Tribolium castaneum: one gene and its partner. The protein of the gene in region 1 purifies or fractionates together with the protein of each later gene. This does not show direct contact. Links are inferred from orthologs where the notes say so. Each region holds a gene or a part of one and is shown on either strand. Other genes may lie near its edges.

Region 1 (4,287 bases):
ATAATTAGTTTTTGAGGTATCGTTTATAAAAAAAATTTCGGAAAACAGTGCCACTAGAAATTGCGCCAAGAAAATGCAAACATTTTACAAATAAAACAAAAGTATATATTTATGAAATTTTAATTTTTTTTTTCGTTTTCAATCAATAAAATGGTAATTAAAGGTCGGTGTTAGCAACGATTAATAAATCGTCATTTATTAGTTAAACAAAAAATTGTTTTAACAAACGTCTGTTTGTTATTATTCTACATATTCGTATTTGTCAAATCTTTAAATTAAGCGTTTATGTATTTGTTGTGCCGTAATATCACGAAAAGTCTACATGACGGTTTAAATGAGCATACTGGATGACGTAGTTCGCGCGCTTTGCGGCTATTGGCTAAGCGTTACTTTGGTTGCTATGGGAGATTTAAAGGCGGGGTTTTCAAAAATTAAATTCTTTATTATTATAAATATTATAAATCAAAAATCATCAAAAAGCGAGTCAAGATCGACCCCATCGAGTGCCTTTGCCCAAATTTCTTCGTCTTTTGGCTTAGTTTCGGTTGGTTTTTTGGGCCCCTCATTGGACACCTCTTGTAGTTTTTTGACCCCCGAACTCGAATAAATCGCCACCAAATTATTTGGAGTTATGGTCAAGTAGTGATTACCTGAACTAGTTGTAATGACACTAAACTGTCTCAAAACAATCACAGAATCGGCAACTAAAAATTCCGAATACTCCTCAAATAAATTATGAATTATTGAGCCCTGAATCTCCCCCGTGGGGTCTTTCAAGACAACTTTAACAATGGTGTTTTTCCCCTCGAAACATTCGACGCTTTTAATGATAGCCCCCAGAAATGGGGCCTTGCGATTTGGCAATTCCTCGCGAGTTGCCGCCCCCTTAATCCAATTAATATCAAACTGGTCGATTAACGTTTCGTGGTCGCGGCACATTTGGAGCCAGGGGGCTGCCTGGAACACGGAGAAAGACATTTGGGAGCACGGAATGACCTAAAATTGAATTATAGCCCCCTGGGATGGCCCCACGACACTTGCCTCATTTTTCGTGTTTTCCAAGTCAAGGAGCCCCGCAGGTCCTGGGAATTTACGCTTAACGGGGGCATTTACTGTTTTGGGGCGTTTGGGGGGCGAATGACTCTGGTGTTTGTTAATTTTATCGAAATTTAAACCCAAGTCCTGATAAACAATGACATAACCTCACTTTAGACAAAACTAACTTACATCACCAAAATCAAAGTCGGTATCACTTTCGAACATTTCTGCTTGTGATTTTGGGGCATTGACTGGGGTTTTGCCCAGTTTTAGTGCCAAAATAAGGGAAATTAATTTAAAATTCGAGTTGGGTTCCGACTTTACCGACAGGACTTTGACAATGTCGCCAATCTAACGCGTAAAAAATCGCCAGCTTTGAGCAAAAAATTGCTGTTTTTGTTGTGATCAATAAGGTGTAGTGTGAGGAGTTTTTGCAAAAAGTTTTGATGCCTCGATCCCGGTACCCCTTCGACGTTGAAAATATGGAAGAAGAGGGTGATTTCGGTGGGGAAGTCAGTGTTGTCGATGTCTATGATATTGCTTCCGATATTGGCAAAGAATGCGAAAAAATCATTGATCAATACGGTGCTGATGCTGTGACTTCGTTAATGCCCAAAGTTATTAACGCCTTAGAATTGCTCGAAAATCTGGCCACACGCAACGAACGCGAAAACACACAATTGCATGAGCTTCGACTGAAAATAGCACAATTGGAAAATGACAAGTTGGAAAAGGCGGAATATCGGCAAAAATTTGAAAAAGTAAGCTTGTAAAACTTATTATTACTCATTTTCTCCTTCTAGTAACTAAAATTTGTACCAGTTTAAACGGTTGGTAGCGTTTGTGAGGTGACTAGATTTAAAACTGTTTCAAGGAACTGGAAGCCATTGAAGAACAATGGCGTTCTGAAACCAAAGAATTGCTTTCTGTGGTCACACGTCTCCAGGAGGAAAACCGGCGATTGGCCAAAGACAACTCCACGTCTCCCCATCGACAGGTGCCCCCCTTGTCGCCGCCGCCTAACGGCGACATGTTACAGAAGCTGAAAGACAGTGTGGAGAAACAACGCGATGAAATCCGCCTCAAAGACAATCTCCTACAAGAGAAATGCCACGATATTGAAAATTTGAAATCGCAAGTTGAACGTCTGAACAACACGAGTCGAGAGCTTCGCCGCAAACATAAGTTATTCCAAAGCCAAGTGCGCACGTTATGCGACGAAAGGGCCGATTTTCTCGTCCAACTTCAAGACCAACAACGAGATATCGTCGGGTTGAGGCAAAGATTGGGTTTGGCGCAGAAGGAAAACGAAGATCTTGCAAAAGTCGGTTCGGTTCAGTCTTTGTAATGGGAGGGTGTCTGGTAATGATTAGCCAATAGAAGCATAGCGCGCGAATTACGTCATCCAGTATGCTTATTTAAACGGTTATACTGCCGTGCTAAGCAAGAACGTCGTAACTGACTTTTTTGTCAAATTTGAGATAACACAAAGTCTGAGATCAATAGTGCAATAACTTTGATTCTAAATAACTTTAATAGATATTATCCAGAAATTAATAAGACGAAATACGTAAATAAAATTGACGTATGTGGGGTTTGTGCAATATTACTTAGCAAGAAAGTCGTAACTATAAAATGTATATGAAACCCACTCATTAATGAATCAAAAATTGTATATTTTCTAAAATTAATCAAAAACATTAGGTACCACCAAGTTTGGTTGTTTACAAAGTCGAATTACAATTAAAAAAACAAAAAAAAGTGTATGACTTTGACGATTTTGTCAATTCGGTTGGAAGGACGGGTACAAGAACTAAAATTAAACAAATGAAAATTGAAAACTTTTTTAAATGGGAAGACTACAGTTCACAGTACAAATTGGCCAAAATTATTAATCGACCTTACCTAAGCGACATGGTTAACGTTACGTTTGAACGAGGAAAAAAAACATGAAATATAGATGCAGTTTTGATAGCGACTTTATAGAGTTAAATTTCCTAACATCAATAACATCATATTCAAAAAACCCACTCAAAAACACACAACAAATGGCATAGATACAGAAAGAAAACAGTAACTCTTAAAAAAATTTAAAAATATTCTACCAGAAAACCGATTGATTTTTTGACAAAATTTGCTTTTATTTCAAAAGTATCGTACGCTAGGTGTAATTTCTTGGGTACATTTTTTTATAAATTTGCTGTTGTTACGTATTATTTCATTTGTTTAAAGCCGTTAATAAATATTTTTGTAGTTACGACTTTTTTACTTAGTTACTTTTACTTAATTAAAAAAATAAATAAAAAAATTAAACGTCGTATGTGGAATAACAGCGATTTGGCAAAATAATGGATACAATTGCATACATATTTCCTTTTTACAAATAAATTGTTAGGTTGACTTCAATATTCCATGTTACTAGCATTTAAAATAACAGTGCACTCTGAAAATGTAGAAAACAAGACATAACTCAAGGTTCATATAAAATCAGTTGCGACATTCTTGCTTAGCACGGCAGTATATGCCTCTGCTTTTTGTGATTTTGAGGCGCAATAAGTATATTACAAATTAATGATTAAGTACAGAACGGTAATTCGAACGGTAACTAATTAATTTGAATTTAGAATATATTTTTTTCTCACAGTTTGCACTAATTTATCAATGACAAAGAAAAAAAACGCCTACTCTTTTAAGTATAAATTGAAATGGTCTTATGGTGCGAGTTTATCTTCAGTAGATAATCTTCAGTAGAATTTTTTTTTATTCCTTCCAGTAAACGATAGATGCTGTTCCTCCATATCTGGTGGCAAACTGACAGTTACATAAAAGACTCACAAAATGATTTCACAAAAAAAAGGTAAGTTTAAGGCTCAAAAGTAATAAAAAAGCGAAAATAACACCGTTTGCTACCCAGTTCGGTATATTTCTGACGAAATAAAACAAAAAAATTGCAAGTCTGCCTGGAAATTGTGATAAAATGCGAAAAAAAGTGACTTGTGACTTAAGTCAACGATTTCTCGGCACGTGTTAGCAAAATTTCAAGAAAAAACACTGTTTTTTTAGAACACAAACGTGATAAAAACGACATAAATACAGTGAAACCTGCTCTAATAACGACACCTTTTCACAACGGACATTTTTGATAACTTATACCATGCGATTTTTTAAAATTTTGTTCTTGTTTTTCATGACAGTTACCTTAGCAATGAAATGTATTGCGTAAATAACTTCAACGTGGCTTTATCTGTC
Region 2 (3,824 bases), on another chromosome or scaffold:
GGAATAATTTTCAACACACAGGCGCACAAGCATTCGCAGCAATACAAAAATAAACAATTTCGAGAACTAATCAACCAACACCACCCCTCTACACAATCAATTATTTCTTAAGTTGCAAAACTTTGTAACTAACGTTGACTTTATTGAACGATTTGGCTTATTAGGGCAGACGTAATAACACTTTATTGTCTCACACACACAAAAAAAATTCGAAATTTAAACAAGTTCAGAAAAACTGTTAATTTGCAACTTGTACGTAATATGGCTCCCAAATATTTTGGAAAAGTGAAAAACCTAACGCAACGGTTACCACATGAATGATTTCCAAAAAGATTTTTGAATCTTCGATTCCCTTTAATGAATAATTAGTTCTGTAAAGTTAGTCACAAGAGCACAGAAAACATTAACGAAAGTTTGGTATACCGTTAGATTAGAACAAAAGCATTGGGCAAAGCAAAGTAACCCTCAGAACTGAAAGATAACGAACCAGTGTGATTATTAAAGGGTGCAGCTTCACCTTGTTGCGGTGCCGAATCATATGGGTTTCCATAGGGTGGTTGTGGTGGTGGGGGATTGAAACCAGGTTGTCCTGGGTATCCTCCTGGAGCACCGGGATAACCTGGCGGCGGGGCACCCGGGTATCCTGACGGAGGCGCCCCGGGATAACCGCCTGGGTACGGTTGCTGTGGTGGAGGGCCACCATAATATCCTTGATTTCCTATTTAATAGCACAAGATATAAAGTGTAGTTAACGTAAATAAAACAAAACGCCATAATCACCCACAATTAAGATAAGTCTATAGTTGTTTTTAATAGGCTGGCTACATTACCTTGTGGATATGGTCCACTGTTCCAAGACATGCTGTAATAGAAAAAAACAGTTTACAAGAATGAAACTTGGCGAACGTGAAGAAAACGTTAACAATCGGCTAAGTTCTGAATTTCATTTCATTTCCGAAAAGCTACCACTCGTAAATACATGACTCATCAATGTATAAAAATCAATATTAAAAATGTTAGACGCATTAAGTAAAATTCCCTCAACGACTAGAGCCAGACCAAGATTAACCTTTTTAATTGCGAAATAAAGTTGATTTTCAATATTTACAAGACATACGCCCGTGTAAACCACAACAAGCAGTGATGAAAGTAGGTGTAAATAATATGGGTCAAATCACAAAACACATACCTGCTGTTGTCGGCAATTAATCACTTCCGCCACAGGAAAACTGCTAAATGAATTGATTAAGTAATTATTTGGAACAATACCGCATTACTCACTCTTATCGCTATTCTGGAAAATGGAAAAGGCAACAAAATTATCTGGAATTTTCTGACATTTGACATCAGGAGAAAATTTACTGCGCTGCCATTGGCTACTTTAATCGACATGCGCACACGTTTTTTGGGCGTTTGTGGCAAAAAATAAATTTGGGGCACAAATTTATGGCTTTTATTCGTAAACAAACGTAGACTAATCAATCAAAGTTCGAGGAAATCACGTAAAACTTATCGCTCCGCAAAAAAACGTACAATTTGGTATATTTGTGCATCGATGTTGGCCGCCCTGGCCTGGTGTTTTTATTGTTTTGGTAGGTTGAACTGTTGAACGTCAAAAAATTAATTATAATTTTGCTAGTAGAAAGAAATGGCCAAAAAAACATATGATTTGCTATTTAAATTGCTTTTAATCGGCGATTCTGGCGTGGGGAAAACGTGCATACTCTTCCGGTTTTCCGATGATGCGTTCACGACGACTTTTATATCAACTATAGGTAAGTTAACCTTTGCTCTGACCCTATTTGTTGTTCTTTAATTCATGGTCCATTTCATACAAAAAAGAACGCTTGAATTGGTCCAGAGATCGCTTCTTTGTGTTGCAATAGCTTCCGTTTTTCCTTGGTGTATTTTTATCTGCACGGGGTGAGGTCTTTGCAGGCGCCAAATTTAAATATCCCGTTTTTTAGGTATAGATTTTAAAATAAAGACAGTCGAGCTAAGGGGGAAAAAGATTAAGCTGCAAATATGGGACACAGCTGGACAGGAAAGGTTCCACACAATTACAACTTCATACTATCGAGGTGCCATGGGAATAATGCTAGTTTACGATATTACGAATGAAAAAAGTTTTGAAAATATAGTGAAATGGTTAAGGAACATAGACGAGGTCAGGGGCCAATTGTTGAGTTTTAGTGTTCTTACGATTGAAAATTGCAGCATGCCAATGAAGACGTCGAAAAAATGATCCTTGGTAACAAATGTGATATGTCTGATAAGAGGACAGTGAGCAAAGAACGGGGAGAGACTGTAAATACAACGTTACCCAAATTTATTGTTTGTTTATGGGGTTTTTCAGATCGCACGTGAGCATGGCATCAGATTTATGGAAACCTCAGCAAAAGCTAACATAAACATAGATAAAGCTTTTAATGACCTTGCAGAGGCCATTTTAGATAAAACGGCTGGCAGAGAGCCAGGTGATCACGTGGATAGGGTACTGGTAGATAGAAAACAGCAGTCAAACACCTCCAGGTCTTGCTGTAATAACTAGTTTTAAACATTTGAACTTCTCAATTATGCATAAAAACTGATTTCAAATAAAATTCACTGAACAAGATTTTTTACCGATCATTTTCATTACAGAAGTCAGTTCATTGTGCTGTTGTATGTGTCATAAACCAAAAATCTGAGTGTAGCTGTAGTTGAGACAATTCTACAAAGCAATATACTGCTGAAAGCTTCTGATTTTTGGTTTCATATTTTCAAAATCATCCAACTGGAATTACAGAGGCACAACTTTCATTATTTCATAAATGTGCTTTACTTATTACATGGTAAATGTCGAAATACAAATTATTTTTTAATATATTTAATATAAGCCAATTGCTTTAACATTATCCAGTGTGATGTAGAATATAAAATGTACTTTAAAACTGTTAAATCATTTCACGTTTTTACTTTGCTCACATAGTCATGAACAATTTTATTAAGTCTCAAGTTCATGTTGTTATTTTTGCTTTCAACACTATATTTGACAATGGACATTAAATTTGAACAGAACGACCTAGAGGAAAACTACGTTAGTGTTAGACTAAGTTGACAATTTAAGTTTCTATTAGAAGAATTATTTAAGTTACAGTTCTCTCAAATATTAGCCATTAATTCTCTGGTCCTCCTGTACATTAGTATATGTGTGTCTGTGCTTATACCTTGATTTATCTATGTGTTTATTTGTTAGAAAGTTCAGTTATTGTAGAATTCGCAACGATTTATTTACGTGTATAAAAATAAGCTTTTGCAGAAATAAACATAATAACTTGACCACGTTTATCCATACTCCAAAGGCGGCACTTCTGGGTGCTCTGAACACTTTTTGTTATAATTCTCCACAATTTTGCTAAAATCCATTTCATTGTATTCTGGCACTTCCAAAACTTCCCTAACAAACGTTCGGTTATTTCACATGGGGGTACAATTCACACTTACTTTTTTCTTTCTTTCGGGGGCGATGTTTTCTTCACTGTTTTTCGTTTTAATGGTTTGTAGTTAGCTTTAGGTAATTCCAGCACCAAATGCCCGGTGGTTTGTGACCTTTTTGCCGTACTCTTATCAGTAAGGATTTCCTCCGGAAAAACGATTTGAAACACTTTTCCCTTAATTAAAATTCTTGCGTAGATTGGTTGCAAGTCAATTTCAATTAAGTTCGTATCCAAATACCTACAAAGCATTGCAAATGTGGAAAAAATCACTCACTAACGTACTTGTAAACGGCGAGATCAAGGACAAACTTTTCCGGGTTTTCATCGTTAAATTTAAACTCTAGT

The links.
Region 2: the proteins of Rilpl (region 1) and Rab10 purify together in Homo sapiens (co-immunoprecipitation; 3 studies listed by BioGRID and IntAct, with this or other methods). This does not show direct contact. The link is inferred for Tribolium castaneum from reciprocal best matches to the Homo sapiens genes RILPL1 and RAB10.

Annotation. Positions count from the first base shown.
Region 1 is NC_087401.1:11,058,387-11,062,673, forward strand, and holds the start of Rilpl (RILP-like protein homolog), read left to right. Parts: upstream 1-1,484; coding exon 1,485-1,799; intron 1,800-1,912; coding exon 1,913-2,362; intron 2,363-4,287. Other genes in the region: homologous recombination OB-fold protein, read right to left, coding at 463-996, 1,042-1,182, 1,228-1,263. UniProt on the Homo sapiens protein: Plays a role in the regulation of cell shape and polarity. Plays a role in cellular protein transport, including protein transport away from primary cilia.
Region 2 is NC_087394.1:30,236,429-30,240,252, forward strand, and holds Rab10 (ras-related protein Rab-10), read left to right. Parts: upstream 1-1,452; 5' UTR 1,453-1,592; intron 1,593-1,639; exon of another isoform or gene 1,640-1,642; 5' UTR 1,643-1,648; coding exon 1,649-1,775; intron 1,776-1,967; coding exon 1,968-2,167; intron 2,168-2,217; coding exon 2,218-2,307; intron 2,308-2,356; coding exon 2,357-2,551; 3' UTR 2,552-3,321; downstream 3,322-3,824. Other genes in the region: protein lifeguard 1, read right to left, coding at 488-718, 831-861; dynein axonemal assembly factor 11, read right to left, coding at 3,328-3,439, 3,487-3,717, 3,762-3,824. UniProt on the Homo sapiens protein: The small GTPases Rab are key regulators of intracellular membrane trafficking, from the formation of transport vesicles to their fusion with membranes.